4 linked regions of the Notamacropus eugenii genome follow. The protein of the gene in region 2 purifies or fractionates together with the protein of the main gene of each other region. This does not show direct contact. Links are inferred from orthologs where the notes say so. Each region holds a gene or a part of one and is shown on either strand. Other genes may lie near its edges.

What was found.
Region 1: the proteins of COPS3 (region 2) and COPS7A purify together in Homo sapiens (affinity purification with mass spectrometry; 14 studies listed by BioGRID and IntAct, counting the BioPlex papers as one, with this or other methods). This does not show direct contact. The link is inferred for Notamacropus eugenii from reciprocal best matches to the Homo sapiens genes COPS3 and COPS7A.
Region 3: the proteins of COPS3 (region 2) and DCAF11 purify together in Homo sapiens (affinity purification with mass spectrometry; 3 studies listed by BioGRID and IntAct, counting the BioPlex papers as one, with this or other methods). This does not show direct contact. The link is inferred for Notamacropus eugenii from reciprocal best matches to the Homo sapiens genes COPS3 and DCAF11.
Region 4: the proteins of COPS3 (region 2) and CUL2 purify together in Homo sapiens (affinity purification with mass spectrometry; 5 studies listed by BioGRID and IntAct, counting the BioPlex papers as one, with this or other methods). This does not show direct contact. The link is inferred for Notamacropus eugenii from reciprocal best matches to the Homo sapiens genes COPS3 and CUL2.

What each region holds. Positions count from the first base shown.
Region 1 is NC_092874.1:194,984,545-194,992,718, forward strand, and holds the start of COPS7A (COP9 signalosome complex subunit 7a), read left to right. Parts: upstream 1-5,083; 5' UTR 5,084-5,264; intron 5,265-5,642; 5' UTR 5,643-5,685; coding exon 5,686-5,847; intron 5,848-8,174.
Region 2 is NC_092874.1:334,073,467-334,081,435, reverse strand, and holds the start of COPS3 (COP9 signalosome complex subunit 3), read left to right. Parts: upstream 1-4,870; 5' UTR 4,871-5,058; coding exon 5,059-5,119; intron 5,120-7,969. UniProt on the Homo sapiens protein: Component of the COP9 signalosome complex (CSN), a complex involved in various cellular and developmental processes.
Region 3 is NC_092878.1:9,161,449-9,168,525, reverse strand, and holds the start of DCAF11 (DDB1- and CUL4-associated factor 11), read left to right. Parts: upstream 1-3,981; 5' UTR 3,982-4,151; intron 4,152-4,421; exon of another isoform or gene 4,422-4,556; 5' UTR 4,557-4,669; coding exon 4,670-4,779; intron 4,780-5,284; coding exon 5,285-5,412; intron 5,413-5,640; coding exon 5,641-5,768; intron 5,769-6,161; coding exon 6,162-6,226; intron 6,227-6,590; coding exon 6,591-6,691; intron 6,692-6,935; coding exon 6,936-7,077. UniProt on the Homo sapiens protein: May function as a substrate receptor for CUL4-DDB1 E3 ubiquitin-protein ligase complex.
Region 4 is NC_092874.1:75,148,296-75,155,375, reverse strand, and holds the start of CUL2 (cullin-2), read left to right. Parts: upstream 1-4,039; 5' UTR 4,040-4,174; exon of another isoform or gene 4,175-4,393; intron 4,394-4,797; exon of another isoform or gene 4,798-5,037; intron 5,038-5,171; exon of another isoform or gene 5,172-5,262; intron 5,263-6,303; exon of another isoform or gene 6,304-6,321; intron 6,322-7,080.

The sequences.
Region 1 (8,174 bases), about 140 Mb from region 2:
AAAGACAATGATAGAGGATAGGGAGGAAGAAAAGAGGGAAGGAAACAGAAGATACATGGTAGCAGATGATAGAGGAAAGGAAAAAAGGATAGAAAAGTCCTGGAGATGGATCAAGGTAGAGAAGAGGAGAAAGAGGAAGGGCAGGCGGAATAGAATAACTGACACAAGACAGAAAATATACGGGAGTCAGAAATTGCCCCTCCAAATTTTCCTAAGGAGGAGAAGAACGTGATTGCTAATCAATGAAGCGGAGCAGGGCTGAGGGGCTGACTGAAACCTTCCTGTTGCCTTATCTGTCCTCCCAATCTTAACTCCAGCACCTTGTATCCTCTCAACCCCTTCAGGAACCCCGCAGTCCCCCGGATTCAGCGTCTTACACATCCCCCACCCACCTGTCCAAGCTCAGCACAACAGGTCTGTGCGCAAGAGATAAGCTTGGGGGTGGGGCAGGAGCCTGCCCCCATCCCCAAACCATTCTCTCACTACAAACTAGACAGAGCATTTCCCAGAGATGGACAGTAAGGGGGGTGAAGGGGAGAGTCACCGAGGAGGAAGAGGCCAATGAAAGGAAAAGAAGGAAAACAAGAGGGAAGAGAGCGAAGGAGAAGGGATGGGAAAAGGGAGGAGGAATGGGGAGACGGAGAATGCAGGCAAGGAGAGGGGAAAAGGGATGGCGACAGCTGGGACCAGAGAGCTGGAGCCGGAAAATAAAGGATGGAGATAGAGATACGGAATGAAAGATGCGGATCTAGATGGATGAATGAAAGATGCGGATCTAGATGGATAGAAATGGTGATGGTGGTGATGGAAAGAGAAATGGGGAAGGAGGGATGGAGGCATGAGAAATAGGGACAAGACAGATGGAAAATTGGGGGCTGGAAAAGAAGCAGGCTAGGAAAGGACGCAGGAGCCAGGAAGGACAGAGCCTGGGCACCTGGGATGAGGGATGGAGGTTGCAGGGTGTCGCACTCACCTGCTCCGTGGCTGATGTTTCGGGATGACTAGGGGGGCTAGAGGCTGTGAGGGGTTAGGGGGCTGCGGGGGGCGCCAGGCCAGGCGCATGGTCAGGGGACTAGCGGGCGGGGCGCGGGAGGAGGCGCCCCGGGTGTGGGGCGGCGGCAGAGGCTCAGTTCAGCTCTGCTCAGCTCGTCTTGTCTTGTCTTGGCTAGGCGTCAGCTCAGACCTTCCGTCTCCGCCTGCCACGCACTATTTAACCCTCCTGTTCCCATGCCGCTGGGGATCCGGGGATCCCCGGATGGTCTGGGATGTGGAGTAGAGGAAGGCTGTTGGTCATCCTGAGATTCCAGGTCGTGCCTATATGACTTTCAGTATATCTACCTACTCTTCACCATAAGAAGCGTATCACCTCATTTGAGTATCGTTCCAACTTCCTATGTTCCCACTTTGTCACCCCAATTCCATCTCACTTCATGTCCCCCACATCAGGGTCACCTGAACTCTGGCACCCCAGTTCTGCATCACTTAATTCCATGTGATCTCAATTCATATCCCCTACCAGACCACCTTCTTTCTTCTCCTTGGGACAAGGCCTAGAAAAACAGTGTAAAAATCCCAATCCTATTAACAACTTCCTGGGTTGTGAATGTATAGCCCTCAGGAATTACTGATATATATGAGGCAGGGACTTGGCTTCTAGGAAACTTTCCTGTGACTCAGATCACCCTCCACTCTCCTTTCTTTCCTTTTTCTTCTTCCATCCTTGGGTTAGTCTTTCATTTTCTATTTGCCTCTCCATCTACTCTTTCCTACACACTCCCACACCCACAAAGAATATAAACTATTTGAGATCAAGAACTGTTTTATTTTTCTCTTCGAAACCAAACATCTAGCATAATGCCTGGCAAATAGTGAACACTTAATAAATGCTTCTTAATTGAATGATTTTCATCTCTGATTGTAAAACTCTCTGTCCCCTATCTCTTTTCCCCCAATTTCTTTCTCTTAATTTTTTCATCAATATTTTCGTATTCAGGATCTAACGTTATATGCCAAGCTTCTTTCCCATCTTTTACCTTTGCCTACCATTTGGTTATTACCCAGAATTAGAAGAGAGATTATTGTTGAGGATAGGCTCCCAGAAGTTATCAAACGCTGTTGTGTTTCTGTCAATTTGTTCCACACAGCTCAGTGAAGAAGAGTCAGTTGTGCACACTGGAACACTTAGTGTGTGTTCTGTCTGCTGTTGGTATGTACCCTGGTTGTGCCATGCTAGATGTAAGTCCCCTTTTCATGTGTGTATGTTCAGTATGTACTTTGGATATATGTGTATGCTGGGTTTCTGCCTGGGATATGTGTATGTGCAATGGGTATTCCCAATCTGTAAAATTTGTGTATTTATATATGTCCATGTGTTGGGGGGGGAGGGAAGCGTGTAGGACATTGGGTCATTAGCTGAGTTCCATCTGCTGATTTTGCTACATTTCTTTAGAGTCATTTCTTAAATCCCTTTTGTTCCTGGTATTTTTTATAATCCTCGCATTTGTGCTGTGATGTTTCTTTACATAAAACTGAGCAATATGCCAGCATTTGGCATAACAATTTAACATAACTTTCAGTAGATGACTGGTTGAATAGGTCTGTTTTAGTTCTCAGTACTTTTCTTCTTCAGGTCTCTGTTAGACATTTTCTTTCTCTGATTAGTTATGTTTTCCAAGCTCCCCCTCAGCCTTATTAGCAGAATGCCCCGTGCAGACGTTGAGTTAATTTTTGTTGGGTGAATGAATAAATGAATTACTTGTTTGGGGAACTGTACAAAGTGAAAGACTCAATTGTTATCTTCTGCTGTTTCTCTATTTGTCTTCTCTATTTCTATCCTCTTTCTTTATCCTCACTTTTTATCACCTTTCTCATTTGCCTTTTCTGCTTTCCTCTCATCTATCCCTCTCTCATCTCTACTACCTGCTGTCCTATCTTTTTTTTTTTTTATCACCCTTTGTCCTTACTTCCCTTCCTCTCTCCCAGTTCATAAATAGAATCATACCCTCTTAGGAGTCAGAAAGGAATTTAGGATCTAATTCAACTTTGTCATTTTGCAGATGAGGAAACTGAGACATAGGTCAAATAACCTCCCCATGGGCACACAATTAATGAGTAACAAAATGTGGAACAATGGAGCTGGGCTCAAATCTTGACTATCCTACTTACTATTGGTGTGACCATTGGCAAGTTACTCAGCCACTTAAGGTCTATGTTCCTGTTGAATAAGGGGGTTGGACAGGGAAATGACACAAATTTATAGCATCAAGAGCCATTCCCAAGTACATAATTGACCAAAGGATATGAATAAACAATTTTCAAGAGGAGAACTGCAAACTACACATTTATCAAATCAAAACATGAATCACTAATAGAAAGAGAAATGCAAATAAGAAAAACTCACACCATGCAGATTGGCAGAGATGAAAAAAGATGAGAAGAGTTAATATTGGAGAGGCTATGGATGATGGTTAGGCATACTGATATTCTAGTCATAGAGCTAAGAAGTACCACCATTCTGGATTTCTAGTTGGAATCATATAAGAAAAGTAACTAAATTAATACTTTTTGCCCCAGCAGTCTCACTGCTGGGTACATAATGTAAAAGACAAGGAATAAAGGTCCAAAATATAACAAAATACCAAGTACTCTTTGTGATAGAAACAAACAAAACAAAGTAGGTGCTCCTCAGTTGGAGGCTGTTAAAAGAATGAGCTGTTACATGTAATAGAATATGAATGAAGTGAAAAAGTGCTGACCATGAAGAATTTGGGGAACTATGGGAAGATTTTATATGAACTAATATATAATAAGCAGGAGTAAAAGAAAAATATACAGAACCACAACACTGTAGTAGTCTTAATAAAAGGAATAATGGAATGACAATTTCTGAGAAGAGATGATGAAACATACCTCCTTTCTGACTGTCAGAGGGATGATTCGAGGACAGACTATTGTACCTATGTCTCGCATGGTCAGATGTTTTTGCTTAATGGCTTTTTTGTTACAAAGGAAAATTCATTCAGGAGAAGGGGTGGGAAATGGCTGTAATACAAAGACAAAGACAAAGCCTTAAAAAAAATAAAATGAAGAGAACGTGAAGACTTTTTGTCCTAGTAATGATGTGGAAATAAATCGATATTAACTGGAAAAATGTCAGAACAGATCATTGGTTATATGAATGTAATGGAATATTATTGTGTCAAATGAAATAGAAATAGGAAAAATTCAAACAAGCTTGAGATGAACTGATGCAGAATCAAAGCAATTGACGTGATGACTACGATAATGTAAAGGAAAATAAAACTGAAAGTTCATAACTCTGACAGATTATGACTTTAGAGTCTCATAAAAGAGATGGTGGACTATAGGCTACAAAATGAGAAATGCATTTTCAGGCATGGCTAATATATTAGTTTATAAAATATTTATTTTAGTTAACTATGCTTCCGTGTTACAAGAGAAGGTTCTATAGGGAGAGGAGAATCATTAGGACATCGATATTAAAAAATATAATCAATAAAACAATTTTTTAAATCCCAATAACAGACTCCGAAGAGCTCCTTCCTCACTGCAGAGAAATGGGGGACATAGACCTCGTCAGACAAAGCAAGATGTGCATGTTTTCGCTTAATTGTTTATCTTTTTCACGGGACTGCTCAATCTAGTAGAGGCGGGGGAGGAAGTGACTGATGCAAAGACAAAAGGCATCAGTAAAATGTATTTTTTTTAAGAAAAAATAATGGGTCGGACTAGATGACTTCTAAGGTCCTTTCCAGCCCCGAAGGTCCCTCTTCTCCCGGCTCTGTCTCCTTTTCTTCCCCGTCCCTTTCTTGCCCACGCAGCATCTACCGCGGTAAGCCCGCCATCACGCCGCCAGGACAGCTTCCCGGAAGGCTTTCCCTAACGGGAAGTGCGGGACGCTCAAACTTGTGGAATCCAGAGGCGTCTGCAATTATCACACAGCATTTCTAAACAATAAAGTTTTTTTGAAAGTCAAGGAGAAAAAAAACCCAGCAGTCGCCTGCCATTCTCCCGATGATGGCCAATCAGAACGTAGAAAGGGCCGGAGAGCCCTCTGCATCCCGCCCCGGGAGACTTCCGGAGCCTGTGACGTAAAGGAGCGGAAGTGGGGGCCTCGGGAGCGGGTCATAGAGTTTTGTGGCCAGAGTGGCCACGGAGGGAGGCAGTGGTAACGGTTTCTAGCAGCTGGCGGAGGTGAGGGAGGGGCCATCCCTCTAAGTGCACGCGAAGGGCGAAGGCGACAGGTAGCTGCTGCCCCACAGAGCCCGCTTTGGGGCTGCTGGGCTAGAGTCCGCAGCCCCTGGGTCGGCCCCCTTAAGGGCCGGGGGGAGACTGGAGGGGCGGGGGCGGAGCCCGGCGGAAAGCGAGAAGGGGGCGGGGGTCACGCGGGCCAGGAGGCGAGCAGGGGGCACGTGCCTCGCACGCGCACGCCCCTCCCCTCGAAGGGGGGGAGCTGGCAGAGCAGCAGGGTCCAGTCCTTCCCCTTAACCCTACGTTCCCGAGAGGGCGGCTGGGGGCGGGGGTTGCCCCTGTCTCCCGCAACACTAGTCCGAGTCTTTTCCTCTGACGAGCCTCCATTTGTAAGGGCCTCCCCCCACGTGGTCCTTCCTGCTTCCTTGCAGCTCCAGGCCTCCCGAGCCCCGTGGTCCCCCGCCCAGGCCAGCCATGAGCTCCGAGGTGAAGGTGACAGGGCAGAACCAGGAGCAGTTCCTGCTTCTGGCCAAGTCGGCCAAAGGCGCCGCCTTGGCCACCCTCATCCACCAGGTGCTGGAGGCCCCAGGCGTCTACGTTTTCGGGGAGCTGTTGGACATGCCCAACGTCCGAGAGGTGGGTACCTGTGAAGAGCCTCGAGGACCCTCTTAGGAAGCTCCGTCCACCGTCCCTGCCTCCCCCTTTAGATCAGAGCGCAGAGTGGCAGCCGGTGACTGCCACTGTTGAGCGGTATATCTGCCTCCAAACCCAGCAGGGTCCGCCGAGGTTAGGGCTACGAGGCCTCTCAGCAGCGAAGGCTGTTGTTGAGAAGCTGGAGACGTATAAGAGAATCACTTCCATTATTATTAACAAGTTCTTGTAGGTAACTAGGCAGATAGCTGGCGAAAGAGGAATGGGAAAGGCGTGGTCCTGTGAAAAAGTACCACGTAAGGGGCAGTGGCAAAATAGAGTGCCAGGCATGCAATCAGGAAGACTCAGCTTCCTGAGTTCAGATCTGGCTGCTGACACTAGCTGTGTGACCCTGGACAAGTCACTTCACCCAGTTCGCCTCAGTTTCCTCATCTGTAAAGTGAACTGGAGAAGGAACCATTCCAGTCAGTATCTTTGCCAGTAAAACTGCAAATGGGGTCACAGAGCCTGACACCACCGAACAGCTAACAAACAACCAAGGGGCACAAGATCTTCCAATTTTTTTTGATTCTGTGCCCAGTCCCATCAGTTAAACATTTTTTGAACAAACACCCCAAAATATATGTATTTTTAAATTATATGCATGAATTACTGTACAAATATGCTTTATGAAACATATACAAAAATAAGAATTTGAAAAGGATGAGATAAAGATGAAATGTTTTGAAATTTAAAACATTTTTTAGTACCATAGCAGTTTTTATGCTTAATGTCAGTCCAATGAGAGTATCCTGCTTGTTTGCACTTACTTATTTTCCTGTGTATGTCCTGTAAATAATATTTTGGTTAGTAATCTATTATGGGATCAGTGTAGTTAGCCAAACAATTGAATTTTTTTTTTGAAAATATATTTTAATATATTTTTCTGTAGAAAGATATACAATAAATAGTGAGCATACTAACTTAATTTAGAGTTATAATTCTTTGTGTAAGTATTTACCATATACAATGCAAATACAAGCAAAAGTGAATGTTCTCTGATTTCAACCCAGGAGAACATTTTCAGTATAAATCCATTCCTCTTTATATGGTTCTACTTAACAGATGGTGCGTTAATTTTCTGTTCATATTTGTATAGTGTAGTTTTGTTTTTGTGTGCATGTGAGGAACAGTCAGGAGACCAGTTTGACTAGACTATAGAGTGCAAGAAGCCAGTAAGTAATATATAATAAGTATGGAAAAGTGGGCCAGGGCCACATTGTGAAAGACTTTAAATGCCAAAGAAAGGAATTAATATTTGATTGTGGAGAGAGTATGGAAACCTTGGAGTTTATTAACTAGGGAGTTGACAATGGTCAGACCTGCATTTGGGGAAATCACTGTCAGGTCTATGGAGAAAAGTTTGGAATGGGAAGACACATAAGTAAGGAGACTAAATAGGAGGCCATCGTAATAAGGCAGGTGTGTGTTCATCCTTCGTTGCTGAAGAAGACCATGCCATCAGAAAAATGATGACATGTCTTGCACTTGTCTTGTTTTGAGTGAGGGAGGGCTGTGCAAGTCACCAGCCTCACTTCTCCTTCAGAGCCATCTGAATCCAGTGACCAGATATTCATCAGGATGACTGGAGATAATAAGACTGGAATGGAGGAGGGTTCAGATGAACAATCTGAACTAGGGTGTTGTGTGAGTGGAAAGACAGAAAAGGACTTCAGAGATGTTGTAGAAATATTCTATAGAAATGACAGGATTTGGCAAGTTTGGCTATGTAAGGTAATAGGAAGAGTCAGGGATAATAATGAGGTTGCAAATCAAGAGATACCCTTACAGGGACTTCTACTAGAGGGGCGAGTCTGGACAGAAAGATAATGAGTTCTGTTTTTGATTGTGTTTGAGATGTTTGTTGGACATCTATTTGGTACCGCTTATTCAGTTAGTGGGGAGAGAATTGGGCTGAATGTATAGATCTGGGAGTCCTCTGCATGGAGATAGTAATTGAACCCATGAGAGTTGATGAAAGAAAATAGAGATAAAAGAGGCCCAGATCCTTGGGGTACACCACCTGTACCCCATTGAGTATGACATGGATGATGAATTGGCAAAAGTGTCATAGAAGGAGCAGTCAAGCAGTAAAGAGACTCATGCCATGAATATTCAGAGAGGGGAAAATATGGAGGAGATGGTGATCAGTAATGCCCAATACTGCCATCAAGAGGGATTAGATTGAAAAGAGAGAGACCATTAGATTTGGCAATTAAGAGTGGAGAGAGCACTTTCAACTGAGTGATGATGTGAGAATCCAGATTACAGAG
Region 2 (7,969 bases):
AATAAGAAAAAGACATTCTCTGCCCTCAAGGACCTTACAAGTTAATAGGAGAAGATAATACACAAAAGGAAGATGAAAAGGAAGGGGAGTTAGTTGCCAAAGGGTATCTGGGCTTCAAGGCAACAAGTCTGTGGAATGAAAACCAAGGGGAGCTGCTGGCGAGAAATTGAAAGTTGGTTGGGAAATTCTGAGCCCTTGGTAAAGGGAGGCTGTGGGAGTTTTTCCATCTTGCAGTCAGAGGGGAGAGGCAAGTGAAGGCAGAGATCAAAACAAGGGCAATCTCCATGATGAGATTTCTGTTTAGTTTATCCTGGGGGAAGCATAATAGTCTTGGATGAAAGCCAACCTGAGCAGCTTGTCGGAAATATATAGACTATATTTTCCATTTACAGATATGGAATTAATTCCATTCTCACTACTCCTATACATGTTTCTATTTCTTAGTACTCTTCTGGTACTTATATGGCACCTGATGTGGTTTTGCATGTATCTTTTCATATGTACATTGGGAAGGGTGAAGGGTCAAGTAAGGATCTCAAACTTTTCTGCAAAACTATTGAGCAAGGACACAGTTGATCCAAAACAGATGCTGTTCAGTTTTGAAATAATAACCTGTGATTAGCATTGTATATTTAGAATTGGAAGAGACTTTAAAGATGGCTTTGTCCAGTGGTGTCAGACTCACTGAAACATATATAAAGATCCATGCAGGCTGCATATTGACTTAGGAAAAACAGGTTAATATCATCTTTGTTTTATTGCATTTTATTTATTTTTCCAAACATTACCAAACTACATTTTGATCTGTGTTTTGTGTTTGACACTTGTGATCTAGCCCAATACCCTTATTTTTCAGACAAGGTACTTGAGGTATAAGAAAGGTAAATGACCTAGTGTAGGGGCAGAGAACTTGTGGCCCTCCAAACTTGAAGATTTGTAGTCTTGAGGTCACATGTTCCACACTCCTTGTCTTAGTGGTTCTGGAATCCCTCCTGGCCACTCTGTTTTTCCCTAGAGGAGGTTTCAGTCTTGAAGCTTTTCTGCCCAATTATCCAAAAGCTCTTCCCCCTGACTAGTTATTTCTATAATGCCATCCTCATTCTTCAAACCACTAAGGCTCACACCATCAGTCATTTTTATTATAATTTTTCCTTACTTTCTCTTTACACCAGTCTCTTCAACCTACCCAGTATTATTTTCACAGAATCATTGCATTGGGAGAATTATTTAAATTTTAACTATCCTAACCTTCCCACTGAGTTCAGGAAACCCTTGTGAAGCACCACCATGGGGGAGGGGTAGTCAAATGGAAAAAGGATTAATATTCATTTCTGTGTCAGTTAAGCCTATAGTTTAAATATTCTAATGATTTCATTGATGTAGGTTGCCCTTCAGCAACATATGGCAACTCATTCATGTCTGCCCAGCTAATACAAATTTTATCTAATTCTTCTTATAAATTCAACACAAGGGGACCACCCAATATGCTGGGGGTCTTCCTTGAACTCTCCTAACATCTGGAGAAGAGCAGTATGTGGGCTATCCATCAGTTATCCCTCATTTTTGACAATGTGACCAGCCTATTTTTTCAGTCATATATATTTTTGTTGACTTCTTTGAACTGCTCCCGTTTTTGTATGTGCTTTCTTTGTAATGTACTTCAATTTACTTTGTTCATGCCTACCCTCAATCAGCAAACATTTATTAAGCATCCACTGCATACCAGGTACAGAGATACAAAAACATTGTGTTTGTCCTTCGTTCTGGAAGAGGACCATGACATCAGGATGATGACATGACTTGCAGTTGACTTTGATTTGAGTGAGGAAGGGCTGTGCAAGGTCACCAACCTCACTTTCTCCTCCAGAGCCATCTGGGTCCAGTAGCCTGATATTCATCAGGATGACTGGAGATGGTCCAGGATGCAATGTGAGACCCTGGACCTTTCAGGCTTAGGTCTTATCACAATCTTACTTTGAGTGAGATACACCCATTCAATGAATAGCCTTCTTTAAGTTACTCTAAGGATGGCCCTTTTAATAAAAAAAAAAAATCAAACTGGAAGGGGAAGACTCTCAGGGTTCCTGGTAAAAGAGAAACAATTACTATTTAGTTATTACATCCACTCTTGTGCTAGGAGGGTGGGGACTTGTTGTCCAGTCTATGACTCCAGAGTGAATTGGGTTTAAGGCTTGATCTTTGAGCAAGAAATGTAGCTGGTAAACCCAGAGAAAAAAAGGCAGGTTTTGGCCACGGAGTTTATCTTCCCCTGGGCAGAATACCAGAGGAGAACAGAGGAGAAGAGGGAGAGGACAGGAGAGGAGAGGAGAGGAGAGAGGAAGTGGGGGGAGGGGAGAGGAGCTACTACTCACTCATTGGCCTTTAAGGAGATTATATTCTGCATAGGGTTACATATGTTTACAGATAAACAAATACAAGCAGGATACAAAAATACAAATATAAATACAAATATAATAAAGACAGTATATAAATACAAAACCACTGACACTAACTGTTGGGGAAATCAGAAAAGGACTCTAAGGGGCTCATATTTAAACTGAACTTTGGAGAGCTAGGGATTACAAAATGTAGAGGTGGGTAGAGAACGAGTTCTAGTACTGGGCACAGCCTATGCAAAAGCATGGCTTCAGGGGATGGACTGTTGTGTAGAGGGCACAGTAAGTAGGCTAGTTTGACTAGAATGTCATATGTAAAGGTCAGTAATGTCAGTCTGTCAACTGACAAGCATTTATTAAAAGCTGTGTCAGGAAAGGCAAAAAACAAACAAAAAAACCCAGTCAGCATAAATTATAATGTCAGGGACAACATATACATAACTGGGTAAATACAAGATATATACAAAGTAGAAGGGAAGTAATCTGAAAGAGAAGGATTGAATGATTTAGGGGTTGGGAAAGGTCTTTTGCAGGAAGCAGACTTTGAGCAGAGGCTTAAAGGGAGTCAGAGAAACCAAGAGGAGGAGATGAGGAGGCAAAGTGTTCCAGGCATGGAGAAAAACCGTCGGTGTAAAGGGTCAGAAAGAGAAAGGATATATTGTTTGAAGAACACCAAGTATACCAGTGAAGCTCAATCAGAAATGGAAAGGATTAATTATTAGTAATGTGTAATCAGCCTGGAGTCAGATTGAGAAATCATCCATCCATCCATCCAACAACTAGTATTTACACAAACATGGCCCCAGCTCTCAAGGAGCTCACCTTCTAGACAGACAACCTGCAAACAATTACAAACAGCCAAAGACTGGATGAATTAAGAGATAATCATTGGGCAAAGGGTACTAGCTTTATTTGGGGGAGGGGTAGGAAAGAATTCTTGTACAAGATAGGATTTTAGCTGGGACTTGGAGGAAAACAGGGAAGTCACGAAGTGGAAACTAGGGAGAGAATTCTAGGTCTTGGAGAAAGACAGTGAAAATGGAAAGAACAATGTCCTGTGGGAGGAACAACACAGAGGCCAATTTCCCTGTATCACAGAATATGTGGAGGGGTAAAGGATTTAACAAAGCAGAGAGATGATGGACATATATGCAGAAAAACAAATTCATTTTTGGACACTGTCAATTTGGGAATTTGTTTTGCTGGACTATGCTTATATGACGTGAGTTGTTTTTTCTTTCTTGATTTCTTCATTTCTTTCTTGTTCCTTTCTTTCCTTCTTCCCTTTTTCAGTAGGTGAGAAGTGGGAGACCAAAAAAAAAGCTTGATAATACAAAAAATTAAAATTTATTTTAAAGAAGACTCTAAAAGTGGGACTGGGTCAGGTTATGAAGGGTTTTAAAAGCCAAAGAAAGGATTTGTATATTTGGTCCTGCAGAGAACAGGGACTGCTGTAGTTTAGTGAATGAGGAGCGGGAGGGTGCTGGTGACATGGTCACATCTGCAGTTTAGGAACATCGGTTTGACAGCTGAAGCTGGAGTGGGCGGAGGGCAACCAGAGGCTACTGCAGTATTACAGGGACAAGGTAATGAAGGCTTATGCCAGGTTTGCCCTAGTGTCACAAGAGAAATGGGAGTTTGGACAGTTAGAAGTGATGATGGTGACGATGATGACATTTCTATGGCACTGTGCTACGCCCTTGACAGTTTTCTCATTTGACCCTCACAACCACCCTGGGAGGTGGATGCTGTCATGATCTGCGTCTGACAGAGTAGGAAGTTGTGGTTCCAAAAGGTTCTAAAAGTAGAAGTGAAAAGACTTGGCCACAGATTAGATGTGGGGCATGGGAGTACGGAGGCCAAGAGGACGCCTGGGTGACTAGGAGCTGGTGGTGTCCTGGAGAACGGTAGCATTTACACGGCGTTTGGACGTTTGCCAAGTGTTTTACGGATATCTCACCGTGGGAGGTAAGGGCTCACTTCGCCTTTGAGAGGGTGGGTGACCTGTCCGTGATCATACAAACTAAGGACGCGTCTGGGGTCGGATCCAGCGCTTTAACCACTGCGCCGCCTACATACATACATACATACACATATATAATACATAATTGTACATATAAAAACAACAACAACAGAATTCTCGAGGTCTTCGATTTCGAACAGGCCGTTTCCACGTAAACCAGGTATCTCAGGTGTATCCCCAGGTATACGCTGCGGGAAGAGCCAGCCCAGCACCTGGGTTCGATCTTCGTGGCTCGGAACCTCAGTTTCCCCTTCCGTAAAATGAAGAGGCGGGCGAGGGCTGGACGAGAGGGCCCCCAAGGTCCTCTCCGGCTCCACCTCTAGGGGCATCCCCTGGCGATGCTACGGCAGGTGCCCGGATCTCCAATTCTCCACACTCCTCTCCCTCCCACCACCCGCTTCCCGAGGAGGCGGACAACTGTTTCCATGGCAACGGTAACCAGGCTCCGCGCGGTTGTAATCTCGCGATACCTAGCTCGGCGGAAGTGACGGCAGGCGGGAGTTCCTGAGGGGCTCCCCCCCACCTCGGTCAATCGCTGCTAGTCCACAGAGCTCCAAGCTTTTCCCGCCGGAGGAGCCGCTGCCGCCTGGGCCTCCTTCTGCCCTTTCCCCCCGTCTCCCCGCTCCCTTCCTCCCCGGGATGAACATGGCGTCCGCCCTGGAGCAGTTCGTGAACAGCGTCCGGCAGCTCTCGGCTCAAGGTCAGGCCCCAGGCCGCCGGACCCGGCCCGGTCCGGCCCGGCCCGTACTCCTTCCCCTGGGCCGTGGCTCCTTCTCCTCGGCCGGCAGGGGGGCCCCGGAGGGGGGAGGCGCCGTCCCGCTGCAGCCTCATTCATTCCCCTAGGCCCAGCCCTCCCGCCTCCCGCCTGGCTCCCGCGCCGGGCTGCGGCTCCGGCAGGGGCCCAGCGGCGGCTCCGCAGGCGGGTCTGCCCGGGAAGGCTTCCCCTCCCCCCGGGCCCCAGCTCCGCCCCCAGCAGCGCTTCGTGGAGGCGGGGAGGAGAGAGCCCTCTCCCTCCTCTGCTCCCGCTCCCGAGCCCGGATCCCGTCCCCTCTTGGCGCCCGGGCCGGGTCCCCCTCGGAGCGAGAGGCGCTTTGCTTGACAGTTTGCTGGGCGGTGACTTCCGCCATCGCTTTCTCCTGCTCGGCGATTGGCGGCCGGGGCGCCCCTTCCCTGGCCGTGATTGGCCGAGCGTCTGTCCGTCTTGCCCGCTCCGCTTCGGGAGCTTGTGGGGAAGAAGGCTCTCGGTATCCTTTGAGTTACCTGGACCTCTGCCTTTCCCTGCGAGTACGGAAGGGTGCGTGCCCCAACGCCCTTACAGACGCTTGAGCTAAGGTTTACAGGAGGTGCAGGCGGGTAGAGAGGGAGTTTGGGCACTGGGCACAGCCTGTGCAAAAGCATGGCCACGGGAGATGGAATGTCTGCCGCCCTGTTTGCCTTGCTCTCCTGCTAAGCAAGCCCTTTCGCACGGAGTTCAGTTTTTAAGGGTGGAAGGAAGAGAATGCCTGGTAGAGTTCTTGAACAAAATTATTAAAAGGAGGCCTTTTTTCAAAGCACTTAGGGAAGAGGTGGTTGTTAAGAGCCAGCCTGGATTCTTTAGGGAGATGTGGTTTGGTGAAAGTAGTAGGTTTGGAGTCAGGAAGACTTAAGTTCAAATCCCTGATCCTTAATTTTTTTCATCCTTAAAGCAGTGATTAAAGTAATAGAGATAAAATAGAGACGCTTGTATTTGTAGCCCTCCCTAAAAGGGAGGCTTAAATGAGATATTGTGTGTAAAGCTCTTTGCAAGCGTTGGAGAGCCAAGTGTGAGCTGTTATTATAAGAACAAGTCATACCAGACTGATCTCATTTCCTCTCTTAACGGGGTTTAGATGAGTAGAATTAATTTGACAAGGTCTCTGACCGTATCCTTATAGATTAAATGAACTAAATGACAGAACAGTTTAAATGGGCCTAGAGTATTGATTAATGTGTTGGAGAGAGGTCACTAGTGACACCCCAGAGTTGTGGCTTTGGTCCAATTCTATTCAGTTTTCTAATCCATTACTTGAAGTAACTTAGATCAAATTTGTTGTTGATGCTAGCTAATACCTAGGATGACAGAAGCTGAAACTAAAAAGATCTTGATAGCCTGATTTGGTGGCCAAATGAATAGGATGAAATGAAGAAATAAATATAGGGTCTTGGACCTAGGTTCGAAAAATCAACTAGACAAGTACAGAATGAGAAAGCAATGTGAAGATCTAGGACTTTTAATGAACTCTGAGCTCTGTGTTAGAGCTGATGTGATCTTAGGCATCACTAAAAGGAAGGTAATGTCAATAGTGTGGGACATAATATACTACTATAATATACCACTACACTATGCCCTGTTGAGATCATCATGACATTATTGTGCCAAGTTCTGTGTGCCATAATTTAGACTAGCTAGAATGTGTCCCGAAAGTAACGGGAGTTATCATTAGATGACCGATTAAAGGAACTGGTGATAGTGAGGTTAAAGAAGAGACAGTACAGGGGATGTGGCAGCTTCTTTGAGGTACTGAAGAATTGGCATGTGGAATGCTTAGACTTTTTCTGCTTGTCTTAAAGAGGCTAGAATGAGGACCTCTGGGCTGAAGGAGATACAGGAAGGCATATTTCAGTGAAATCTAAAGAATAACTTCCTGTTAATTAGAACTGCCCCAAACCTAGACTAGACTGCCTTTGAGTGCAGTGAGTTCCCTGTCACTGGAAGTGACCACATGTCAAGGATGTTGTAGATTAGATCCATGATTTGCTTAGGAATTGGACAAGATATCTCAAAGTCTCTTAGATGGCAATTCTGTGAGAGGCACTTTGTGCCTCATTTCTTCATATCCTTACTTAATTTCATGTCTTAAGTAAGGCATGCAGGATTGAACACTAGATAGTGGAGTGAGGATAAAGGGATCATGATTCAATAGTAAAAACACTAGACTTGGAATCAGAACACTTAGATTTAAGTTCCATTTTCATGTTTCTTAACCTATGTGGCCTTAAGTCATTTAATCTCTCTGGACCTCAGTTTTCTCAGATGTAAAATGGGCATAATAATTGCAGTAACTACCTCATAGCATTGTTTGAAGTCAAATGAAATAATGTAAAGCTTTGTATATCCATAAATTGTTATGTCAATTCAGCTGCTGATATGTATTCTAATGTTGAGCAAGTCTCTTCATTTATCAGTACTTCAAAGGATCAAAGGATTTGGAGTTGGAAGGAATCATATTTATTACCTCTTCCAACCTTCATTTTGCAGATGAGTGAACTGAGGCTTAGAGAGGTTAATTCACTTCATATTAGTAAGTTCGTTCCAAAATAAGTGGTGATGGTCTAACTGAATTGTCACTAAGGTTTATGAACTATTACACATATATGTGTGTCTTTTTTGTCTTCCTGCTAGATTAAAAGCTTCTTTAAAATAGGGATTGTTACCTCCTTTTATTTGTATCCCCTAGACCTATAGCAGTGCCTGGAACATAGGAGTCTTTACTGTGCTTTTTGATTGGGTAGCTTATTGTCATCTCTGTTA
Region 3 (7,077 bases), on a different chromosome or scaffold from region 2:
GAAAGGTAATTGTAAGGAGTCCAGTGGGACACACTAGCCAACCATCTATCCCTCCCGGTCAGAGAACTTCCTCTGGAAGGGACCTTAAGGGCATTATATTCTAGTGCCTTCATTTTACAGTCACTGTATGACAAGTTCAACCTTTTTTTTTTTTTTTGATGATATATTTCAACACTTCCCTGATGATATCCTTTACCCTGCCTCTCCTGTACCGTTTGTCTTTTATAACACACTGCAGCCTTCTCACATTCATTCACTGGCTTCTCTATTGTCCTCTGGGGCACCCTTGACTTCAGGCCTTCAGAGTGTGTATTCCACACCTTACAGCCATCCTACACTATCAAAAGGACCTCCCAATCAAATCAATATGTACTTTGATACTTGGTGAGTTCAGTACAAGAGTGAGCACAGAAATGCTAGAAAATGTTTCGAGAATAAGAAATAAGGAAAGCCAAAGATTTGCTGAATGTACAGATGTCACATATCTATATAAATGAAAACTTCAAGAAGATTTGGGAGGTTAATACAGCAAATGATATAACAAAAAATGAAATATTTTAACAGACAGAGAATCACTCATTACTAATGTGGGAAACTGTCTGTATCCAGTCAGACTACCAACTTGATAGAGCAAAGTTCAAAATTAATACAAAACTAGAAAGAAGACAAACAGGAGAGAGGAGGAAATAGGGCATTCAAGTGAAACAACTTCAACTACCACAGTTGCTTACTCTTTTAAAAATTCTGATCAAGGGTTTCATAAATAGCACGTAATAACTTCAAGGTAAAATTCTCTTCAACACTTGCAGTCCTGTGTCCTGTTCTAGTATGCAGGGATAAGGCAGAGACGATTACAAGGTTTAGAAACATATTATCTGAACAAAGGGAAAGGTATTGCCAGGTATTGCCACACCTTGTAGTCATTCAGGTACATAACAGCACCTGAAGCACAAAGTATCTCTCACAGTTTGTACAGTATGATGTACAATTAAGCCTTGATAAATTATTTTAATGAGGATGGTAAGATTGGTCTAGGACATTTCAAGCCAAAGATAATTGGTAGAAAATGTTCTTCTTCCTCGTGGCCAGGGCTGAGTATGAAATAAACAACATAAGCAGGTGCGCTGGCATTCCTTACTACATGAAAACTCCGCAGGTTGTTCCAAACTACAGGGAAGTGCACTTGCCCAATGATTCAGGGCAGTAGGTAGGCTGACTGCTGGTACAGTCAGGAATCTAAACAGCCCACTGAGTATTCTGGCTTCCCTCATCTGCCCTCTGGTGGAGATGCTAGTGAGCAGGAAAGCTGACCTAAGATAGGCAGTCAACAACACTGAGAACCTATTCAGTATAGGATATGTGGAGGATGGGGAAAGGCACTGGGGAGAAGGCGGGCAGAAATAAAAGAAACAAAAGGTCCTTTCCCTTTCATACAGCTGGGGAGAAACAGTACAGAAGCACATCAAAAAGAACATTCACCAAGCAACAAAAGGCCAACGACTGTAGAGTGGCGCCTCACTGATTCAGAGTGGAGGAGAAATATGATTTAAAAGTCTAAATTATGTTTTCCAAAGATATAATTTTATTATTTTAAGTAATAATCACACCTTATTGTAACTAGCTTATTACAGCTACTTCACAAAAGGACTTTCCCACAAGCATCTTGCTGGCATTTTCCTCCAATGCCATGAAGTAGGTAAGGGAAGCATTTCCCCTATTTTAGGGATAAGTTTAGGTGACTGCATCATTCAGCTAATGAGCAGTGGAGGCTAGAATCTCAATCCCAGGCTGGGTGGGTCTTGACACGTGTCTGCAATGAGACTCAGCAGGTGAAACAAACTAACTAGTTCTCAGGCTACATCGAGAGTCCAGAGGCATAAGGACCATCACACTGCGCTGCAGGGAGGCTGCTACAGGAATACTGTATCCACATCTGGGAATGGCATTTTAGGAAAGACTGAAAACTAGTGTTGCCTAGAGTCAAGGGCGTGTCGGGAGGTAAGTGGGCTGGTAATGCCATCCCAGCCTCAGGACCCAAGTAAGGCTGCTTAGCCTGGGAAAGACACATTTAGGGAGTAGAGGTAGCGCAGAAGTAAAGACAATTGTTTGGTGCCAGGAGCAAAACCAGGAGCGAACTTGGGAAGAGCAGAGATGTAAAGAGAAGGGAATCCCCAAGTCAGGAGCTTCCAACCCAGGCTGCCTAGACGGCCCCTGCTCGGTGGGTCGGAAGTTCCTCCACTCTTTCCACAGTTCCTATTTAGGGACAGCTAGGTGGGGAAGGGCATGCAGTGATGCACCTGCAGTTAGGAGGACCTGAGTTCGAAGACAGCCTCCGGCACCTTCCAGGTGTGGAACCCTGAGCAGGTCACCCAGTCTGTTTGCCTCAGTTTACCCAGCACTACAACGGTGACAGTTGCAGCCCCCACCTCTCCGAGGGGCAAGGACAAACTATTTATAAAGAAAGCTTCGCCAGCGCCTGCCACACAGCGCTGTACCCGATTAGCGTGTGCCTGCTACAGACACCAGGTTCATGCTATACAACCTACGTGGCTAAGCTAGGTCCGAAACGGGCACAAGTAAAACGATCCCAGTTAAAAAGGAGAGGAGGGAGGGGGATAAAAGCTGTCTGTGGAGTGGGTGGATGCCTCTCCTAGCGTCCAGCTCTGGAAGGCAGGAGGCGGCGCCATGGGAGGCAAAGATTCGGAGGCTCGATGGAGAGCGGGGCCAGGCACACTCGAAGGGGCTGGGCTCTCCGTCCCCGGAGGTCTTCGGGCAGGGGCGGCGGGGGCGGCACCGAGAGGCTCCCTTCCACCGCTCCACTTTTAGGGCGCTATCCACCCAGATCACCCGATAGAGGCGGGGCCCGCGCGGTGCACCAGCAGGGGGGGGGGGGGGGGTGCACCAGCAGGGGGGCTTGGAGGCGGGGCCCGCGCGGTGCACCAGCAGGGGGGGGGGGGTGCACCAGCAGGGGGGCTTGGAGGCGGGGCCCGCGCGGTGCACCAGCAGGGGGGGGGGGGTGCACCAGCAGGGGGGCTTGGAGGCGGGGCCCGCGCGGTGCACCGGCTCGGAGGAAGGGCCGCGCTGGCTCAGCACAACAAAGGGACTTTGGCCCTCGGCCTTGGACTCGACCCTAATTAGTTACACATCAACCCGGAGCCAAGGAGGGGGGCCGGGTACCTGGTCGGGGTGGGGAGGGAAGAGGGGCACGACCTTGGACCCTGCACGCACCCCGGCAGAGAAGGTCCACAAACACCCCGGGAGGGGTGCGGGAGGGGTGGGGGAGGGCCTCCCCCCAGAGCAACGCCAAGGTCCAGAGCGTTCCCCAGGGCCCGGGGCGGAGGGGGAGGGGCGGGGCGGACATCTTTAGGGCGGGTCCGTCTGAGCCCCAGCACACAGATTTAGGGGTGCCTGTCCTGGGAGTGTGGTGAGAATGGGCCACGGGGTGGGTAGGGCAGGCCGGCTGCCAGGCTCCGGCCTAGAAGGCAGGCTCGCGGAGCTCCACGCTGCCGGCCCACACCGTTGGGCGGCTACTAAAGGCACAAAAGCCCCTGGGCCCCGCGCGCAGGCCCGGGAGGGCAACGTGCTGGAAAGGGCGGCTCTGAGACCGTCTAAAAAGTGTGGATCCCGGGGAACTGGCAGCTTTAGGGACCGACTTCAAATGATGCCGCTGGTGCTCGGCGAAGGCCAGCCCCCAGGCGCCTGGCTAGCAAATCCGCGACTAGGTATTAGCATATCCCGCCTCTCCCTTTCTCCGCCAATCAGCACCACCCCAGAAGAATCCGCGGCCGCGCCTACCCTCCGCGTTCCCTACCTATCCCAGCCCTCGGAAACAAAAGTCAACAAGGTTTCCCCGTCCCCTCCAGCCTCGCCCCGCCCTTTCACCCGCTGTCCTCCCCTCCTCCCCTCCACAACAAGCTCACTTAGTCCCGCCCACTCGTCAATCACTCGGACCCGCCATCCGGCGAGCGCACTCGGGTGGGCGGGGCCAATTGGCCGATCGCGTGACGCAAGCGGGAGGCGAGCCCGGGAATCGGAGCGCTGCGTGACGAAGCCGCACAAATCTGTTAGAGCCGTTAGGAGAAACGCCGTGGATAAATATAAGCCGGGCCTCACGTGCCGCCCTCTCGCCTAGGTTTTATGTGCTGCCCTTGGTGAGTGAAGAGTCGCGGGCCAGGCATTAACCCCTCTCTTGGGTGGGAGGAACCCTAACCTCCCCCCCCAACCCCGCGTACACACCCCGGACATACCACGTGGCCCTGAGCGGGAGGGGGAGGGCGGTCAGAGGGGAGGGGGAGGGCTGCGAAGCCGGATTCTAACCTCATTGGCTCTCGCCTCCGCCGGCTGTAGCAGGCCCGCTCTCTGATTGGTGGGCAGGCTGCTTTCCTCCAGGAGAGCTCTGATTGGCGGCCTCCCGGGGATCTCCCCCTCCTCCTCCCTTCCCTTCCCCCTGGAGCTCGGCTAGGTGAGCTCGGAGGTGAACCTAAGGAATCTCCCGGCGAGGGCTGCGACTCCTGGCGTTGGAGAGTGATCGCCGCCCTCCCCGCCCCTTTCCGCAGGCTGCAGCTCCGTCGGCCTCCCTGGAGCCCTGGGAGCTGTCACTGGCGGAGGGGAAGGGCCCCCTGCTGTGAAGAGGCCCCGGCGGAGGGCTGGAGGATGCAGTGACCGGGAGATGGACTCGCCGGGCAACAGCAGCGCCTCGGAGGCCTCGCCGTACGGGAGATATGAGCCTCGGTACAGCGAGGAAGATGACGATGTGGATCTGGCCTATTTCCTCCCCAGGTAACTGGCTCTGCGCCGTGCGTGGGCCCCCACGTGGGCCCCCAGCCCCGCCATCCGCGCGGAGCCCTGCCGGCCTCGGGGCCCTTCCCCAAGAGAGGGCGGCGCTGTGCGTGGGGAAGGGGGCACAGTGACATGCCCACTGTGGTAGTGAGGTGCCCGACTTGCCAAGTAAGTAAACAAAGGGGAAGGGAAGGGGGCGGGGCTCCGCGAGGTCGTGTCGGCCGCGACCGTGGACTTGAGCTGGAAGATCCCTCCGCAGTTGTTTGTACAGGCAGAACTCTTCTGGTGGTCAGGCATTCCGCTGCTGACTTTGGCTCTGGAATCTCGGCTGAGGTTGCCAGAAGTCTGCTGAGATACCTCCCGAGAGCGGGCTTCTGCAGCCTGATGATGCCCAAAGCTCGTCCTCTTGGGGCCCCCGCTAACAGAAGGGCACCCGAGATTCCCTCTCTGAGGTGAAGTGGCTTAGTATTGAGGGATCACCCCCTGCCATGAGGTCTCTCCACAGGGGCCAGGTGAGACTGGTACAGGGAGGTGGTGCCACCAGCCTGCAGCTCATCCATACGCTCTCTGACTCAGATGATGACAATGACAGCCCCTGGGAGGGTCGTCTTGGTGACAGATACAACCCACCTGGTAAGAGGAAAGGGTGCTTGGCTTCCAGCATCGTAGGCATCAGTCGGCCCAAAGTCTGGCTCCGCAGGAGGTGGGGAGAGAGATCAGTTAATGAGATGAAGAGTCCTTTGAACCTCATACCTCCTTCCATCCTCCTTTACGCTGGTCACCTTCCTGGCCATTCATCCTCATTGACGTCTGTCTTCTGTGACTGAAAGGCTGAGGCAGGGTTGCTGCTTCTTCTTACAGTGGATTCAAACCCAGACACCCGAGAGCTGGAGTGCAATGAGATCAAGACGCAAGTAGAGCTGGCCACAGGGCAGCTGGGATCCAGTAGGATAGTGCAGGAGCAGAGCTTTCCTCGAATGCTGCACCAGGTAGGCTCCCTTACCTGCACTGAGCTAGGCACTTTGTGGATAAAGAACTGATTTAGAGTCAGAAAGACCTGAGTTGGAACCTTGTCTCAAACATTTGCCAGCTGTTTGACTCTGAGCAAGTCACTTACCCTCTCATCCTCAGTTTCCTCATCTGGAAAATGTGGATAGCACCTGCCTCACAAAGTTTCAAGGCTTGATCAGCTGGTGTATAGAACGCACTTGGCAAATGTTAGAGTTCTGTAAATGTGTTAGCTATTTGGGGGGTACAGAAGGGCAGTCAGAAGTTCTGCCAACTACACCTGGAATGAGGTGAACTCTAGAGAAAAGAGTTTGAAGCTGGCAGCAGAAGTACCTCGTGTATGGTGGCCTTACTCTCTTGTCTCTTCCCTGCAGAGAGAACGTGGCCTCTGCCATCATGGCAGCTTTTCTCCTGGGGAGCGATCCCGTGTAGTGTCTCAGTAAGTTTGGGACCAGGGTACTCTCATTTTGAATTTAGTGGGACCAGATTTGAGGAAGGTCCAGAGGACAAGTAGATGGGACCATACCATAAAATTAGAAGTGGACATATTAATAGGGAAAGTTGGAGTTGTTAAAGTTGGGAAGGAAGGGTAAGAGTTACTGCTATTGGAGGAAATGAGAAAGTTAACCGCTGTTGAGTAAGGAATATAATTTTTTTTATTAAAACTTGGTAGTATGGATAAGGAAAAAAATTCTGAGCAAAGGGAAGAGGGACCTCATGTACTGGTGTATCTGGGGTGCTGTTGACACCAATACCTCCTTACCTTGATGTCCTCTTACTGTTATTTTTCTCCTTTTTCTCAGTTTCTTGCCCAATTACTTGAGCTTCACTGACTCCTATTTCCATAAGGCTTTCTGTGGCGTGTACAGCAAGGATGGTCAGATTTTCATGTCCGCTTGCCAAGGTACCTAGACCCAGTGACCACTCCCTTGAATGGGGAACCACGAACCCAACCCCAGCACAGAGAACAATTTCCCATCAGCCCATAGATTGGGGAAGCCTCTGTTCCAAGATGCCTTCTGGTTGGGAGATGTCAGCAGGATGTAATTCTGAATACCCTGCATCAGAAGGAAGATCTCATAGCTGTAGTAGGTGGCCAAGGGTGAAAAGAGAAAGTTTCCTGAAACCTATCTATTCCCAATTCTCAGACCAGACAATTCGACTGTATGACTGCCGCTATGGCTGCTTCCATAAGTTCAAGAGCATCAAGGCCCGGGATGTAGGTTGGAGTGTTCTAGATGTAGCCTTTACGCCTGATGGGAACCACTTCCTCTATTCCAGCTGGTCTGA
Region 4 (7,080 bases), about 260 Mb from region 2:
GTGAAAAGGCACAGAATCAGGAAATATCTTGTTCTAGAAACAGCAAGTATAGTTGAATCATACACTATGTAAGAGAGTAAGGTGTAAGAAGACTGGAAAGGCAGAAAGGGTCCAGGTTCTAATGGACTTTAAATAGCAAGCAGAAAATTTTATCTTTTATCCAGGAGATAATAGGGAACCAGGCAAGCTTATATGTCTATATAGACATATATACGTATTGCTTATTACCACTACTCCCCTTCATTTATAAAAATACCAAATGCTAAGTCATGTGAAAATACTGTCACATTCACTGTATAAATATAATATATGCATTGCACATATATTTATATATATGTTTGTGTGTGTGTGTTTATGTATATAAAGCCTGTGGCCTCAGACACTGTGGCTTCTTGATTCAATCTTGGGTACTAAAACCTCATCAAGTTTCCAAAGCTCTCCTGTTTATACCCTCTATATATTGTAGGCCAAATATATATACATATGTATACCTAACATACAAATCCATGGTATATAACATCATATATTATAGTTTTGTACCAAGTACCCAATACATACACACCTTCTATCTGGTACTATCTGGTTACGTTTGTATGTTATTAAGGAACAAAGACCAGTCAAAGAGAGGAGTAAAGTTTAAACAAAAGGTTGGTTTAGGCTTAAGACACAAGGAGAGGATCCCACAATGTAATGTATAATTAACCTAGCTAGTTAGATGTTTAAGATAGGCTATCTAAAAATATACCATCTTTAGAATACAAGTGTGACAGGATGAGGAGAAACAGAATCTTTATCATAGGAGCTGACATATGCCATGTCAGACACCTGCAAAGAGGAAGCAAATGAAGAGATACTTCCCTGAACCCATGGTGTCTGTTCTTTTTTTTATTATTATTATTCTTTGCTGATTTTAGATGAATGTGTATCTCTCGTGGTACTAAGAGTAACTCTTGTGCAGGGAATGAGGGATAAATACTCTCTACATGTTACTGTAGTTCATCAGCCTCCACCACTCATTCCCAGCTACATAAAATAAATGTATCACAATGACACCATTTTAAAAATAAAACATTTGCTTAATGAGAAGGCAAAGAAAATAATACTTAATACTTGCAGTTACTCAGTATATGGTAATGCATAAATAATCAATACATCAAAATTAACTCAAAAGCTTGGGTAATATTCTCCTACTATTGCTCACAGTATTTATGGGGAAGAGTAGCCATACAATAACAGAAACCTAGCAGGGAGACACATGAGTGAGGACAACCATGTGATTAGGGAAGCTTGAAACTCTGGACCCACAGATCTTGATGTTCTTGGTCTTTTAAGGATCATTCTGGCCCACATAAAGATACTTTTACTGATTTTTCTCCTTCTGGTCCTTACCCCTGAGCAAATATTCTCCTTACTCACTTTTGAACTGGTGAAACAATGGTGAGCTCCTTCAATTCACAATCACCCTTAAAGAAGGCCCTGAGAAAGTATCATACAAGCACCATAAAGTCTAAAGACAAGCAGTTCCTTCTCAGTCAGACAACTGCAAAGCTCCACCCTTGGGATCTCTGGGCAACGCAAACAAGCCCAGTGAACGTTGCACTTTCCTATTAGTGTCAAGTCTCTTTTTCTGCCCACTAGAGATAAGAGGAGGAACCAGCTAGCACTTCAGAGAAGTTTCACCTCTTCATATCTGTAGATGGCAGTAGAGAGCAAGAGCTAAACCTACAGTCAAGTTCAGCTCTCCTCCAATCAGAAGGCTCCCAGGCTTTTCTTCAGCCAGTCTGCAAAGCAGGTTGTATATCTCAATACAAATTAACCACAAGAACTCTAATAGCTTCTAAAAAGGGTATAACAAGGTATAGCAAGAACAGTCACAAAACATTCTTTCACCCCAACTCCCAAACCTGGGACATACTTTCCCCTTGCATGTTCTCCTTGGACAGAGAGCTCAAACTCTCAAGGGGTATGAGGCACCCTAATAATAAAAATAACTAACACGTATGTAGTACTTACTTTGTGCCAGGCACTGTGCAAAGTGCTTTACAAGTATTCTCTCTTTTGATCCTCACAACAATCCTGAGAGGTTGGAGCTATAATTATCCTCATTTTACAGACAAAGAAATTGAGACAGAAATTAAGTGAATTGCCCAGGGTCACACAGCTTATATAAGTGTCATAGGTCAGATTTTGAACTTGGGTCTTGCTGATTTCAGGCCCAGTGCTCTATCCACTGTGCCATCTAGCTGCCAAAATAAGTACAGAGAACATGTGGAGTCCTTCCCATCTCCAGAAGTCACTACTACTCTGGCAAGTTCTGCTGTTGACTTTGGTTGCCAGCGAGACCCCTCTAATTGTTCTCATGGATATCTCCAATCATAGGTCACTGAGGGATTCCCATCTCAGGAGATTCATTCACCAAAGATCAGGAAAGAAACAAAAGTCTTATTGTTCTGGGAGAGGTAATAGACAGTTGTCTCTTGCTTGGTCATCTCCACTACCAGTTAACTGGAAGAAATCTTCCTTACTTAAAAGCCATCAAGGAAGAGAGATAAAGATCTGCTGCAAGCTCAGTTCTGACTCACACTCCCTTGAGTCATCCATCCCTCTGGTTTTTCAGCCAACGAGAAGACTCTTAAGTCACCATACAGGACTTGTCACCCATGTCTGGAAACTAGTTCCCATAAGTTTCATATGTGAGACTGGAACCTGGCAAGAAATATCTATGCATGTTCTATATAACCTACTAGGAAGGGAAAATCCAAACCATGATTTAAGAAAGAGTCCTTACTGGCCAGTTCTCCAATTATATAATGCAAATGTTTTTGTAATACACACACACACACACACACACACACACACATATGTATATGTATATATTAAAGCTAGGTCTCCTATGTTTTTGAACCTGTGATCTATAGGGCAAATTCAGCATTTAAAATTAGATTTAAAGAAGTATTTGTGCCAGAAATGCTCCCCTATAACCTAGTTCACTTCTGATGCTCCTGACTCCCTTTCCACTTCCTTCCTAGTGATCTTCTCATGTTAGAGACCCATTTATCCCTGTGACCTCTTTTATGGGTTCTCTTGGGACCCTCCATTTGAGGGAGTGCCTACCAGTGTTAGCCATGGATTGCTTTCCCCCATTAAAGGGTAAGATCATTGAAGGAAGAGACCATTTTTTTTGCTTGTATTCGTATCCCCAGGGATTAGCACAGTTACTGACAGGGTAAACATTAATAAATGCTTTATCTAAATAAGATAAATTTGGATGAGGAAACTTTACTGTGTTTAAGCATCAAGCTTTTACAAATTGAGGTGTACTACAGATTCAGTGTATTTGGGATACACCTGGTCCCATGGATTAGGACTGCAAGGTAATATTGGAGAAGACCGACTGTGGAAAAGAAGTAGAAAGTCAAGAATAAAAGTCATGATTGGATCAGTCTCCTTGTTTCTCTACCAAGCCAGGACAGGAATTTATATGGTTTGGGGTTCTCAAAGGAGTAACAAAGAAAGGAATATATGATTTAGACCCAGAAGTGACCTTAGAGACCCTCCAAGTCCAGTCCCTTCATTTTACAGATGAGAAAACATGGAGACTGTGAGAGCTAAGTGACAACCCAGATTCCCTTATTCCTTTGCTCAAGAGAGATTGAATTTTAAGGGTTAAATGAAGAAGCTACATTATAGCATTCATGCCAATTATATTGGTGACAGGGGAAAGAACTAGTATCTTATGGCTGTAGGCATCAGGCTACATATCTATATGTAGTTTTATATTTGGGAAAGAGCTTGTTGGCATTAAGTATATATTTTAGTATATATAAATGCATGTAACGATGTTTAAGTGAGATACATATTAAGTATGAAAATGCATATAAAGTTTTTGAAGATTCCTTTTTAAATTATTTTAAAAACTGAAATAGCTGTTCGCTAGAAAGCATATCAACTCTCAGCAGGTAGAAACAATGATGATAAGTTTTCATGAAAAGAGGGCTGGACTTGAAGCCAAGAGTAACTGTGTTTCAAAACTGTCCCCATTTTGCTAAGTCATTTTCCCAGCTCCCGGCCTCAGTTTTTCATCTGTAAAAAAGGAGGCTTGGCTTAGGTGATTTCTAAGAAACCATCCTTCTAGATCTGATCTAAAATTCCAGAACCGATTCTAAAAATAAAGGTAGGCATGTTTTCCGAAAATGACACTTCGATGTCTTCCTATTATTGTAAAACAATATTTAGAAAGGGCTTAGCCCAGTGGCTGGCAGAGGAGGCGCTTAATAGATGCTTATCCCTTCCCCCACCAAGGTGGGTACCAAATCACCCCGAGGTCTTCCAACTGTTTGCCCGGTTCTGGGGCAGTGAGGATGGGGAAATCAAGCCGCAGGTGTTTCTGGAGGTGAGCGAGAGGGACCTTTGCGGGTCTGGGAAGTTTGTGAATTTCAGTGGGGGGGGGGGGGGGGAGGGGGAAGGCCTTAGGAAAGACCCCCCCTCCCCGTGTGCGATAGCTGACTTGGGGTCCTACCTGGGCGTCGCTAACTTCCGGAACCCTAAAGCCCTGAGTCATGGGCGTGTGGATGTGTCAGAGACCCGGGGGCTGGGGCGTGGGAGAATGGCAGCGGGAGACCCCCCCACCCCACCCCCTTTCCGGTGCAGACACGCGTCGCCCAGGCCGGCTGCGGACTCCCGGTTCCCTGGGCTCCCTGGCTCGGATAGAGCCGGCTCACATGTCCGTTTCTCTTATTTATTTATTTACGGCGGCCTTTTGCGATCGCACTAAGTTGCACCCTCCTCGCTCGCCGTACCTCGGATTCTACCATCGCCCAGAGAGCCGGGAGGGAGGTCGGAGTCGGGAGAGACGACGGGGGTGGGGGGGTAAGAGAGGAGGAGGAGGAGGAGGAGGACGAGACAGCGGCCAGCCGACCCAGCCCGCGGCGGGTCCTCCCCTTCTCCCTTCCCCCTTCCCCTCCCCCTCTCCGCGCCGGGGGCATCCTCGGACGGCGGAGACCCGCAACTAGTCCCTGTGCCCGCGCGGGAGGCCTGGTGAGTGGCGGGCGCGCGGGGGTCGCCCCGGCCCTGGCGGACCCCTGGCGCCGGATTCCCCCCTGCCCCGGGGGTGGGGGGGCTCTTCCCACCCTCCCGCCCGCGGGCCCGGGGCCGCGGGGGCAGCGCAGTCACGGCCGCGCCGTGAGGAGGGGGCCGAGCTGACAGCCCCAGCCCGGCCCGGCCTTCCCTGTTCCCCGCCCCTCGCCCGGCCTTTCCAGTCAGGTAACCCCGCCGAGGGCCGGGGCCCTCCGGCGCAGTCGAGCCAGCCTTCCTGGGCGGCGGCGGGGTTCGAGGAGGGGGCCCTGAAAACCGCCTGGGCCCAGGCCCCAGGCCTCCCTGGACCGGCGGCCTTGGCCGCCCCTTCCTTGGCCCCATTTCCTCCGGAGGGAGGCAGGGAGGGGGAGGAGGAAGGGAGAGGGTGTGGGGTATAAATATAACGCGCATCTGTGTGCATGCGTGTAACCTACACATGTGTGGATGGGGGGGCCCGAGGTCATGCTTTTAGGGCGCCCCGCGGCAAGAAACGTTTTCACTTTGTTCCCTCGAGCGCCCCAAGAAGAAGACGAGGTGCTCCTCCTCCCGATCCAGGGTGCAAGGAAATGCACGGCCCCTGGGGCTGCCCCCCATCTCCTCCCCTGGCACCTGCAGAGACGCCCCCCTCAAACTCGCCTCATTTGGGGGACCCCCCAAGGGCTTTGCTAGGTTAGGCTCCTGCCCGCTGGACATTTAATTGTCCGGAGGCCGCATTAGATTCGTGCTGCCCCCTCCTTTCAAATTTAGGATTCACGTCTGCCTCTGACCTAGCCCGACCAGAGTCAGGTTAAGTGTTTATTTATTAGGAGTATTTACTAAGAGCCTGCTGTGTACCAGGCACGGTCCTAAGTGGTGGAGATACCAAGAAAGGCACAAGCTGCCCCTTCTATCAGGACGTTCACCATCTAGTCGGGGGCCACAGCTGGCGAACAGCCGGGTGCAGACCCGCTAGGACCTGGATAAACCGAGGGAAAGCCCAGGGCACTGCCCTCACATTGAGGAGGACCGGGAAAGGGAGGTTTCAGTGGAGACGTGGAGGCCAGGAGAAGACGAGCAGGAGCAGAATTCCAGGCGTGATGGACAGCTCTGGAAGAAGAACTGAGTCTGGAGATGGGGGGTCTTGTTTGAGGAGCAGCCAGGAGGCCAGAGTGCACGTACTGTAGAGTGAAGGAAGGGGAGAAGTAAACTTGTCCAAGCACAGCATTGAGCATCGGAGGACGCGTCCGACGTGATTTATTGGAACTTGGGGTTTGTGTTTCTTAAAAAGAATCTACTTTGTGAGAAGGGCCTTTTTTTTTTGTTAGGTCTATGTATCACCATAACCTAGGACAGTACTTGCAGCAAACAGTAGGTGCTTTATAAATTGTTTGCTGAATTGTATTGAATTAGATGTCAAGTTATAATAATGTCTACATTTTGAAAGATTATGCCTTTTACTCCACTTGGAATAAATTTCCACTAAAGAATGAAGTTCAGGCAAAATATTAATGAATAGACTCCATCCTTAAGATAGTCACAGTTCTTTGAGGAATATGTATTTACAAATGGTTGGTAGAAGCTTGTGAAAGAACATTTCTACAATGCACACATGATATTTTTAAAAAATTCTCTTATTTGTATTTCCACAAGAATGCTATAGTCATACATGACTCTGGACCTTGTGATGCTTTAAAAATTAACTACCAGGCATCCATATGCCATTTATTTTCAGTCACCAGCACATCAGTGAGTGGGACTCTTGTATATCTTTATATCCATCAATGTCTTTTACTTGATGCCTACATGACTACTTAAAAAGCTGTTATATTTATTGATGTTTTTACCCAGTTGTTACAGTGTTCAGTCTTTTTTGTTTTTTTCTAGCCAATGTACCTTTTAATAAGTGAATATACTCTCTAGACTGATTAGATGGAAGGTCAGATGTTCAAAATAACTTTAAACTGTATATGCTTTTGCTTCAAGGTTAAGGTGTTTTGATAGGTTGAAAAATTTAAGTAGATTTTGAAA